2 linked regions of the Caenorhabditis elegans genome follow. The protein of the gene in region 1 purifies or fractionates together with the protein of each later gene. This does not show direct contact. Each region holds a gene or a part of one and is shown on either strand. Other genes may lie near its edges.

What was found.
Region 2: the proteins of cpsf-2 (region 1) and wnk-1 fractionate together in Caenorhabditis elegans (co-fractionation; one large-scale study listed by BioGRID). This does not show direct contact.

What each region holds. Positions count from the first base shown.
Region 1 is NC_003283.11:7,177,539-7,183,667, reverse strand, and holds cpsf-2 (putative cleavage and polyadenylation specificity factor subunit 2), read right to left. Parts: upstream 4,497-6,129; 5' UTR 4,461-4,496; coding exon 4,299-4,460; intron 4,247-4,298; coding exon 4,148-4,246; intron 4,102-4,147; coding exon 3,795-4,101; intron 3,744-3,794; coding exon 3,548-3,743; intron 3,496-3,547; coding exon 2,827-3,495; intron 2,766-2,826; coding exon 2,045-2,765; intron 1,998-2,044; coding exon 1,836-1,997; intron 1,137-1,835; coding exon 1,034-1,136; intron 987-1,033; coding exon 874-986; 3' UTR 810-873; downstream 1-809. Other genes in the region: lgc-39 (Ligand-Gated ion Channel), read right to left, coding at 4,978-5,069, 5,119-5,233, 5,294-5,428, 5,675-5,982, 6,068-6,129. UniProt on the Caenorhabditis elegans protein: CPSF plays a key role in pre-mRNA 3'-end formation, recognizing the AAUAAA signal sequence and interacting with poly(A)polymerase and other factors to bring about cleavage and poly(A) addition.
Region 2 is NC_003282.8:9,198,332-9,203,302, forward strand, and holds the start of wnk-1 (Serine/threonine-protein kinase WNK), read left to right. Parts: upstream 1-1,774; 5' UTR 1,775-2,099; coding exon 2,100-2,108; intron 2,109-3,914; coding exon 3,915-3,993; intron 3,994-4,297; coding exon 4,298-4,367; intron 4,368-4,961; coding exon 4,962-4,971. UniProt on the Caenorhabditis elegans protein: Serine/threonine-protein kinase component of the WNK3-SPAK/OSR1 kinase cascade, which plays an important role in the regulation of electrolyte homeostasis and regulatory volume increase in response to hyperosmotic stress.

The sequences.
Region 1 (6,129 bases):
CTACAGTAACCCTTTAAATGAGTACTGTAACGCTTGTGTCGATTCACGGGCTAGATTTTTGAAATAGATTATTCTTTTCGATTAGTGACATCGATATTCAATTTGCCTCTTTTTAATTTTAATATTATATCGATTCATTTCAAAAATCAAGCGCTACAGTACTCATTTAAAGGGTTACTGTAGTTTTTGCTGTGAGATATCTTGCGCGTCTAATATGTTGTGCAATACGCATTCTCAGAAATTTGTGTTTTCCCGTAATAACAGAAAAAAGATCAAAACTCATGTATGTAAAAAGGTGTCTTTTCCGGTGCAAAATCCTATTTTTAGACATTACCACGAACTCGTAATCAGTCTACGAAAACGATTAGATGGTTCTTATCAGAAAAATTAGAATCGGCTCATTGAGCTCCCATGAGAATCCGTATACATTTGAAATGTCGAACAAAAAATGCTTCGACTTTTTGATCTTCCAAAAAAAAATTTAAAAAAAAAACTTCCGCCGAGCCTCAAATGTTTACAAAAAACATGATGATATAAATAATCGACTTATTTTTGCCTGTTCACGTCACCTGAAAACAATGAAAAATAGTACAATGGTGTCTGTTTGTGATTGATTTCAATTGTTTATCACATGCTCTACATTTCTGAAAACAAGGGGGAAAGTCGGCGTGTGCTCGTCGATTTTTTATGAGCACGGTTTCCTTGACATTCTCCCGAATTTCCAACAAATTCATACAACTGGAGGCGAATTTCTCGCGGTTTTATCTGAAATGGAATGCGGCGACCTAGCTACTGAAAGAAGTCAAAACTTCTTGGAAAAAAAATTTTTTTATTGAGAATTTTGTGGAATTTGAAAAAGTATATGAGATCATTTTACAAGACAGCGAACTGATCATAGAAGAGACGACGAAGTTTGTAGTAGTCTTTGGTGAAAGCACCTTCCATTTGGAAGACTCCAGTATCATTACGACGAATCGAACAATTTCCTGTAAAATAATATTGTGCGGTTGGCAGTGTGCCAAGTTGTGACTACCTCCGTTGATAAGAAGAGTTCCGCTGAGAAATTCTGCCTTGTACCCTTTGTCTGTGAGAAGGTTTTTGAAGTCGGAAAGTTTCGGATCGTTGACAAAGACAGCCTGAAACAAAAAGTTGAATCTATAAAATGGTTTTTTGATTTTTAAAAATTTTTCAAAGATCAGGTTCTCTCTGACGTCAAACTAGAGAAATGCACAGAACAATTAATATTATTGTTATCAAATGGAGCACTTAGTATGATTGCGTGGTGAAAAGTTTGTGCGTAATAAACGGCCGGATTAGTGACATTTTTGAAAATTGATGGAAACAATGTGACTATTTTTAGAGAATATTGATATTTTCTCGCCGGAAACATTAAATGACCATGTGAGGGTTCTTAGATTTTGTTTTTAAAAATACATTGAAAATTGGGAGTTATATCCGAATATCACTATAAAAAATTTGCATGAATAACTTTTTCAATTTTGCAAAAATTAATCAAAATGTTTTTTTAATTCCCGCGCAAATGGAATTTTCGTGTTTTCTGGAAAATTTTCAGATTTTTTTTCAGCTAAAATTTTTTTTATTGTGCAGCAACATACTTTTGCAATATTGCAACAAAAAAAAAACATTTTCAAAAATTCAGAAAAATTGTACAATTTTTCTAACAGTTCGATCTAGATTCGAACGTTACGGCCATGTTTCTACCTTCTTTTTTTCAAAAATTGCGCTGAAAGGTGGTAATAATAGTGGAAATAACATTTTTTCAAATAAAAAAATGGTTAATTTAAAACAAAATCTAAATCATTTTTATAATTTACCTGGTGAATAGGAATTAGCCGTTTCGGTAGAGGATCGAGAATGAGATTTCCACGTATTTTTCCTTTTGTTCCCTTTTTCGTTCGACTATCATTTGTGTGCCCATTTTCAACCTCTTTTCCACTTTCAGATATCGCCAGCGACTCCTGTGAACCGTTTTCACCCTGAAATTCCAAATGTTTTGAAATAGTTTTAAATATTTTCAGCTTACAATTTCCATTGGTTCGGCATTTCCTTCACCCTCCGTGGCTCCGTTTTCTTCTTGATCATTGACGTCTTCCTCTCGATTTTTATCATCGATCATGAGATTAGATGTTCCTACAGCTAGCATATTATCGATGGCTTCTTTTTCCATAACTCTAGCATCGATCCACGCAAGACTATTTCCTTCGGAAACCTCCTTGAACTGAATATCAGCTAAAAGAGCATCACTAAGAGCCACTTGATAAATGAATGATTCAACTGAGGCATCTACAAGTGCTCCGGCTTCCGGAGCTTTCAACATTGTTGTATCAAAGCCGCTATCGGCAAAATAAGCAACAAGATCACGAGTATCGTCTCGTGATCCATGAACTACGATAATCTGCCGAGGAAGTAGTCCAGCAAGAAGTTTCTTTGTCGATTCACCATCAGATATTCCCTCATATTCTATAAATTCAATTCGGCACGAAACTTCGACACGATTCTTAAATTCGACGCATTTCGTCGGCATTTCTTCAACATGATCGTTCGGATTATAAACTTCTTCTTCTTCTTCTCGTTTCTTCACAACTACCGGTTCATCTTTATTTTGTCCTTTCCGTAAATCAATTTTTGAAATCACAGTGTAGTCTTCTGGTTTAATAACTTCTCCATAATCATCCCACTTGACTTTTTCTTCGATATAAGGAAACATTGGAAATGATTTTTTAGTTGTCTTGAAGAATGATGCTCTGAAAATTAAAAAATTAAATTAAAGACAAATCAAACGTATAAAACTTTTATAAAACAAACTTTTGTTGATTATCCCATTTCGCCATAATATCAAAAGTATGCGCATCATTTTCCGAGCCATCAAACGAACGGAAATCTTTTTCCGAATGCCTTGGAACAATTGGAGCAGCAATATCATCATCATCACTGTCATCACTCTCATTTGCCTGTGCCTGTCGTCTAGCTCTTTCCATTCGAAGTCTAGTTTCTTCTGCATCTCTTTCAGCTTTTCTTCGTTTATATTCCAAAAGTTCTTCTCCTTCCAGTGCAACTCTCTTCTTCACAACTAAACTAATCAATCGATCTTCGTGTTTCAGAACACCATCATTTGCTCTTTCAGCCATATTGACAAGCTTTGCAGCAAGAGTGAATGAAGCTGGACGTGCCGTTAAAATCACACCGTTTCTTGGATCAGAACACCAATCGAGGAATAATTCTCTAGAAAATCCTGATTCCATATCCTGACTACTGCACAACACAACTTTCGGAGATCTAACCCTCATCAATTCCTGATGTGAATGACAGAGTGTGACATGTTTCAGTGTGAAAGGATTGTAACGGGCTGAGCTGGAATCATATTTGAAAAGCTTCTCATTCATCCATTCTAATTGAGATTTTGCGAATTGAACAACTGAAGATGCTACATGTGACATCATGACGAGATTATACGTGGATAGACCTGCATCAGCGCTGAAATTTTTATTTTTAATAATTTTTATTTCAAATTAAAAGAATAACTTACTTGGACCATAATTGATCTAAAAGATGCGCCAGCTCGAGAACTCTTCCAGCTGTATCGATTACAATCATACAATCTCCTTTTTGACGTACTGTTCGTAAAATTTTCGTCACCAACTGCTCGTCTCGATCTTTTCGTCGCATTTGCGGAAGTGAAATGTGATGAGCTCCGGTAATTAGTAAATGTGGTCGGTTGAAATCTGGAAATATAAATATGAAATTTATCTGAATATTTAAAAGAATTAACATACTATCAAATGAGCATCCATTAAGATGTCGTTCTTTTTTATGATTGAAATCAACACAATAAACAATATCTTCTCCAGTCACTCGACAAATTCTCCAAATGGATCCTCCTAACATGTGCCCGGCAGGTAATGCTGTGAAATGAACTCCAGAATCTCCTTTTAAAACGACTGTCTGATTATATTTCACTTGCTCGACTTTTTCGAAAGCTGTATCTACATCATCGAGAGTATAATGCTCAAATTCTTCTACATCCAAATGACTGTAAACCATATCGTAGATGAACATTTGACCCATTTTATATACCGGCACCTAGAACGATATTTTAATTAATTAGAAAAATGTAAATTAAACAAACCGTCGCGTAGACAGGAGCTGTTAAACCACATTTTGAAACTAAATATGGTAGTCCGCCAAGATGGAGAGGATCTGGATGAGATATGAGAACTGCACTGATCTAGAAAAATTATATGTTGAGAATTTAGAAAGTTGAATATATATGAGCTTACTTTGGGAATAAAAGGTTTTAATTCTTCAAAATATTGTAACCCGAATCGCTCATCCCAACCACAATCCAATAGTATATAATCACCATCCACTTGTAAAAGGTAACAAAGAGGTCCTTCGTCTTTTGCACCGGAAAACACTTTCAATTTGATAATGGAGGTCATTTGATGTGTCTTTTAGGTTTTCCCGCTGTTCTGAAAATATTCAAATTAAAAAAAAAAATTGCGATAAAATAACAGCTTTTTGAAGCATAAAACAAATAATTTTCGCAGGAGACCGCAAAAAAATATTTTTGAGTTTTCCACTGAGTGTGCAAACACGGATGTGTGTATGCATCACAATTGACGACAATTTATACACAGTACATTTTTGTTCAAGTTCCAAAATACCTGCGAGGATCTCACTAAATTTACGTGACGAAACCGAAAATGTTTTCGGTTTATTTTTTCGAAAAAAAGAACACGACCTTTTTGGAAGTTAATGGATTTCTATCAATATCAGTTTTTCGACCGTTTATGAAAATACACTATATTATACTATTAAAATCTTATGAGTAGGAACACAGAAGAAAAATAGTTTCAAATGTTATATTTAATATATTTATTTCAATTGTTCTTCTATCATAAAGACACATAACATTGAGGAATTATTGCTGTTGATACACATAACACAGTTTCTCAGTCAGCCTTCGGAAGCAGATGATCGCCAAGTGAAGTAGAGCCAGTAGGAAACACAAAATAGCGAAAAAACTGTTGGAAACAACCATCGACTATCTGAAATTGTACTAATTTGAAAATCAAAAGTAGATATACTTAAACCAACATTCGTCAATTTTAAATGCTATTCGTTCGTTTTTCTCCGAGCATCGAGCACATGGTTTGTTGGTGTCAAATTTGGTGAATAATCGAGAAGGAACCGGAGTGACTGACATCAGCGCCTATAAATTATGTACATGTATGATACATGAATACGTGTGACTTTAATAAATTAAACTTACAGATGATTCATTAAGGCATGCGGATATTCCATGAGTCAAAGAAAATTGCTGAGATTTTTTATTCCGATTCAGGTCGGATCCCTCGGTATTATTCGCAATTACTGGCTTGTTGTTATTAACAATCGACTTTCGAGCCTGAAATAGTTTTGGAGTCAGGAAAAAACTTTAAAAAAAAAGTTAAGCTGAACCTAAGCCAAAAAAATTCCAAAGTCTAATTGAAAGCCTAACTGAAGCTTAACCTTAAATCTTTGCAAAATATAGGACCTAAGCCCAAAAGCCTGAGCCTAAATCTAAGTCTAAGCCTAGGCCAACAAGATTATCCTTTAGGAGCTATTCTACTATTACATGTAAGATGAAGCCTAAACAAGCCCGATATCTGACCTTCTCCTCCCTTTTGCATTCCTGTACTCTTTCCTCATAGAACATATTCCGATGTGAACAATCCGTAGTCCTTTTTGTCATATAATACGAAACAAACGAATATTCCAACAATACCAAAAAGATCAACGCTTGCGAGAATGTCAACCATATATCCAATGCTTTGATATAGGAGACCTGCGGCAAATCCTGTCTTGCTCCGTTGCTCATCGTCGTCAAAGTGAGTAATGAGGTGATTGTAAGTGAGATACGTGCTGGACTGGCACGCGGGTCCAACCAGAATGACATCCATGAAATGGAGACGAGCATTCCTGTTTTTTTTTGAAAAGAATCAATTATTTTTATTAGTTGGTCTTCTAGAAAATTGGAAATTGCTTCCAAAATCTCAAAGATTACCTGTGGGAATGTATGTTTGAATTATGTGGAATAGTACAAGTCGTTTCATAACAATATATCCT
Region 2 (4,971 bases), on another chromosome or scaffold:
TGAAGAATAAGATGAAGAAGACGATGGTTATGATCTGATGATAAGGAAAGTGATTACAGTGGGGGTGTAGGAGTAGGGTAGGCCGAGGGGAAAAAGAAAAGGCGAGAAGAAAAGAAAGAAGAACAAGTAAGTATCATGACAACATTCAAACACTGCCTCATAGTCACACGAGAGTTCGTTTTTCCCTATTAAAAAAACATAATTGTGCTTGTGATTGTTGCAGCAAATGTATCATTCTCCAAAATCACATGATTTTCTCAGTTTTTAGTTAGAATGAATATTCTCCTGGTTCATATAGCTAAAACAGAAATCTCTGCAATTGTTACTGCTAGTTTATACTTTTCATAGTCTTCTCGAAATTTTGTTTCTTTTTGATTGCATTGTATCTGATTGAAAGGTTTTTGAAATTCTTGACATATTTGCAGGTTGAGGTGAATCTTGGTTTTTTCGTTCGGCACGTTTTAAATAGTCATTTTTCAGATATCACAGATAAGCTGAAACTCAAGTGACAAACCTCATTCAGATACAGTAATTCATGTTGACCACACAAATCTGAATATTCACATCTTATTTGTTTCACCAAGATGGTTGTTTGGGGTGTCTGTAAATACTTGAAGTTATGCAACTTTTATCGCATTTTCATGCTTTTTCTAATAGGTTTTAACCTATTTTCAAATGACATTGCCACATTTTAAACTTCGATCCAATCACTTTTCCCTGTCGTCTCCTACACTTTTATCTTCATGTCTTCACAAATTATTGCCAATCAAAACTCGGGTTTTGATGAGTCAAAAGAAACATGTGGGCTAATGGACTGCCACTGTTTGCAGCCACTTGTCTCAAATTGGCTGTAAAGCTTCAGAACCTTCAATTTTCGAATCGTGATGATGTCATCCAAGTTCCATTTTTGGAATGCATTCTAGTTTTTAATGCACCCTTGAAGTGCTAAACTTCAGTCTTTTTCCAGGCTGCGTAATATTATTGAGAAACAAATTTAACCAATATTCCGAGTTCAATTTTTCCGATTTTTCCCGTCTGCACAAACCATTTTGCAAACCTTATCAGTTAGTAATCTACATTTTTCACAAATTTCTCTTACAACTATTCTTCTCGAATTTGTTTCTATGATGTGCCAAAACCTGGAAGTATATTAATATTTCCCATGAATACATAATAGAACATGTCATTTTTATAATCTCTCTCTCTCTGTTACGTCTTGCAAAGTGTGTAGTGTTCCTGCAGAAAAGACATTTATAGATTGATATTGATATCAAGAAATATCATAAAGATAGTATAACATGACAGACGGCTAGATAGACACACATGGACACTGGTCAAGGCCGGTGTGTGCCATTCATCAAGGGTGCATGCTGCCTTTTTTCACCAGTTCATTGTTAAATCCTAGAATTTGAAAGTGCGCTTGTTGCTTAGGTGTTTCAATTTCGCAATTGTGTTTTGATCGATCTATCGTTATTCAGAGTTGCTACACGTTTAGTACGCTACTTTTTATCACTCCCTCGATGATTTAAGCCCTTGCGGGACCATTATCTAATCTACGTGCCTATATGTTTTCTTCAAAGATTGATAGATTTTAGTTAAAATCCTAACTCTTTTTCGGTATTTAATACTTCTAATATATAATTTCATAATTACTTGCTCACCAGCACATTCTAGAAGCTTATTATGAAATCATTATTTTCTTTAATTTTTCAATTATTTCTTCTCAACGCTATTGTTCTCAAAATCTGTTTGCAACCTTTTAAAATAATTTTACCAGTTTTCAGACCGACAACGCACGGGCTCTTCGCTTGATATCCGGACATAGAAATATGCAGATATCATCCAATTTTTAGTTGACACCTATATTTAAAAAGTCTTTGTCAAGCAACAGTATCGATCGCATTCATCAATAACTACAGTAAATATCTATATATCAAAAAAGTCTCCCAAGAAGAAGAAGCAGCGAACTGTTTTCGTTTTGTCAAATCGAGTTCTTGTTTTTGTGGCTGATTTAAATTATACCGGAAAAATTCGATTGGAAAAGAAGGATAATTTGTAAAGAGGAAAATCGGCGGAAATCGTGAAGCGAGGACTACAAAATGCCTGATGTGAGTGTTTTTTTTTAATCTTCAAAATTTATAGTTTTTAATTGAATACAAATTGTATATTTTCATTAATACAAAAAATAGAAAATCAAAATGGGCCCAAAAATTCTACAATCTTCATCAAATTTGTGTTGTCAAACTAATTTTCACTAGGAAACAAAACCATGAATTGTACTTTGAATCTGTGGGCGTTTAAGCGATGAGAAGACTGGTACATTGGTTGATCCTCTTTTAAATCTACTAACAATGAATATTCTCTGTAGTTGAAAGCAGTTATGTCTGCATTTGGGTGGTCAGTCAACCGATTCTTTTTGGGTGCATACATTTGTAGGTTTAGAACTGTGTTTTGATGTTTTTAAATTTTCTAATTAAATAATTTAGCTAAATTATTACTCATAGGAAATTTCATTCGATTCTAATTGTCACTATATTCCTAGTTCCTGTATAAATTGGCATATAATATCGTAAATTATCGGCGATTTTTATCGGTTTTGTCTTCCCGAAAAGAAATAAGGGTAATTCACATTCATCTATGGATTTAGTCGAATCGTTTCTTCATTATAAGGACAAAGTCCATTTGAAATTTAATTTAGTTTTTCCTATTTTTTCTTATATCTTTCTTCTTTCTATTTCCGAATTTTATATCCCTATCAAAGTCAGCAAAATTTTGGCAATTTTCTTTTTATCTCACCGCTAAAATCACTTTGTGAAAATTGATTTTTGTTGATCTTGACTAAAACGAAAATCGAAAACTACAAAATAAGATAACAAAAAATCGTAGAAAGCACGAGTGAGAAATGGGACAAAAGATTACGATTTTTAAACTCGAAATAACTATAAAATCTGCTAAAAATTATTATGTTATTAATTTTGAAAGATGACAGTCATATGTAACAGATGTCGTAATATTTCTTGTAGAATGGTGAGCTGTTTAAATTATATTTCACTCCAATTAAGGACCCTGAAATTTAATTTGCTGAATAATTTATTCTTCAAAATTTAAGAAATTCATAACCTTTTTTCTAAACGAGCGAGATAAATTTGAAAAAATTTCCTATCCCAGTTTACGTATAACCGCTATTTTACTTAAAAATTCATCTGATTTTGCATTTTTAAATAGCCTTTAACAGTATTTGCAATGTTTTTATTACTGTGGGTGGTTGTTTTGTTGTTTTTGTTCCCGCCCTTTCGTCTTTCTCGTCTCATTCGAATTTTGGTGTCTTTTGATCAAAGTGATACTGAATGGAGAAGCACGTGGTAAACAGACGCAGACGACGGTATTAGACACGACGTCTTCTACCTTTTGAAGGCAAACGATGTGTCTATCGTTTGACTTGTTTCAGTCGTGTTGCTTCTACACTTCTCGTAGTAATTTTGAAACAAGAAGTGTCATCACACCTACCATTTTACCGCTAAATTGTAATTTTTTATTGAAATGATTATTGAATTTTCAATCTTAACGTATAAACATTTTTAGACGTTTTTAGTTTTATTGAGTATAGAAGCTTTCAAAATTTCTTTATGGAAATTTATATTTATTTTCCATTCGCCCGAAAACTTTTGTAGATTCGAAAAGTTTATGTATGTAGTAGTTTGAACTCTGTAATTCGAATTTACCAAACATGAAACGTTGGTTTATCTCGAATATCACACAACCCTCTAAGATATCACGTGATTACTGTTCCTTTTTTTTCAATCAAAAAATAGTATAGATGTATTGATTCAAAGTTATCATGTTTAAAAAACTGTATTATGTATTTTCCAACAAAAAAATTGCGTTTCCTGACAGTAACCAATGTTTTTTTGCAGTCTATAACAAACGGTGGACGACCACCAGCACCTCCAAGCTCTGTGAGCTCAACAACAGCATCGACAACTGGTAATTTTGGTTAGTTTTAGTCGAATTAATTATAAAAAAGAAGAAAATCGTCTTATTTGGTGAAGTGAAGTATTCATTCATCGATAAAATTTAAAAACCCTGGAATGTTCAAGTGTTATTGGACACATGAATACGTCAAGAGGATTAAGTTGACGTCGAATTAAAAATTGACGTTTTTTGAAGTGATAGAGAGAAAAGTACGATTTTTTGAAAAATGTTGTAGTTAAAATTGGCAGAAGTGTGATAGAAAAAAGATTATGAATTTAAAAGTTTATTTAATTTTTTAAAAGTTAATTCAATTTTTAAATTTCAGGTACTCGACGTCGTTTAGTGAATCGTATCAAGAAAGTCGATGAACTACATCCAGCACAAGAGAATCCCACGTTAGTTTTTGATCTCTTTTGAAAGTTTCTGATGGTCGTGGAAAATTTGAAACTCTTGTTAAAACTTTATTCTTGATAGTGCAAACGTATGCATAATTTTGTAAAAAAAAAGATTTTGGCCGAATCATTATACAAAACTAACCTGAATATATTTCTATTCTCACCCATTCATAACAATTTTAACTGGTCATGTGAGCATTATCGGTAACTTTTTTCATCTTTTTTAGGACGAAAAGAGACGAATGGACAGTCTAACTGTATCTATCTCTCTCTCAATATCATAGATTTATGATGAGGAGGAAATTTCAGTTTATGATTTGATTTGAAATTCAAATTTTATTTTTTCCCTCTCCCTTCCCCATTGACATTTTCTACTATCCACCTCTGCCAACCACGCATTCCTATTAAAACCGCCAACTGCTTCTAGAAATTTTGACTGAAAAACAGTCTACATTGCCGTTTTTGCAAATTTTAAATGGAATTTCCGATTTCCAATGATTTATTATTAGCTAGCAGACAATTACAGACTAGAAATGAACGAAAAAGGTGAAAAATGATTTTCTGGCTTTCTTTTTAAACTGTAGACTATTTCAGAATGGGATCA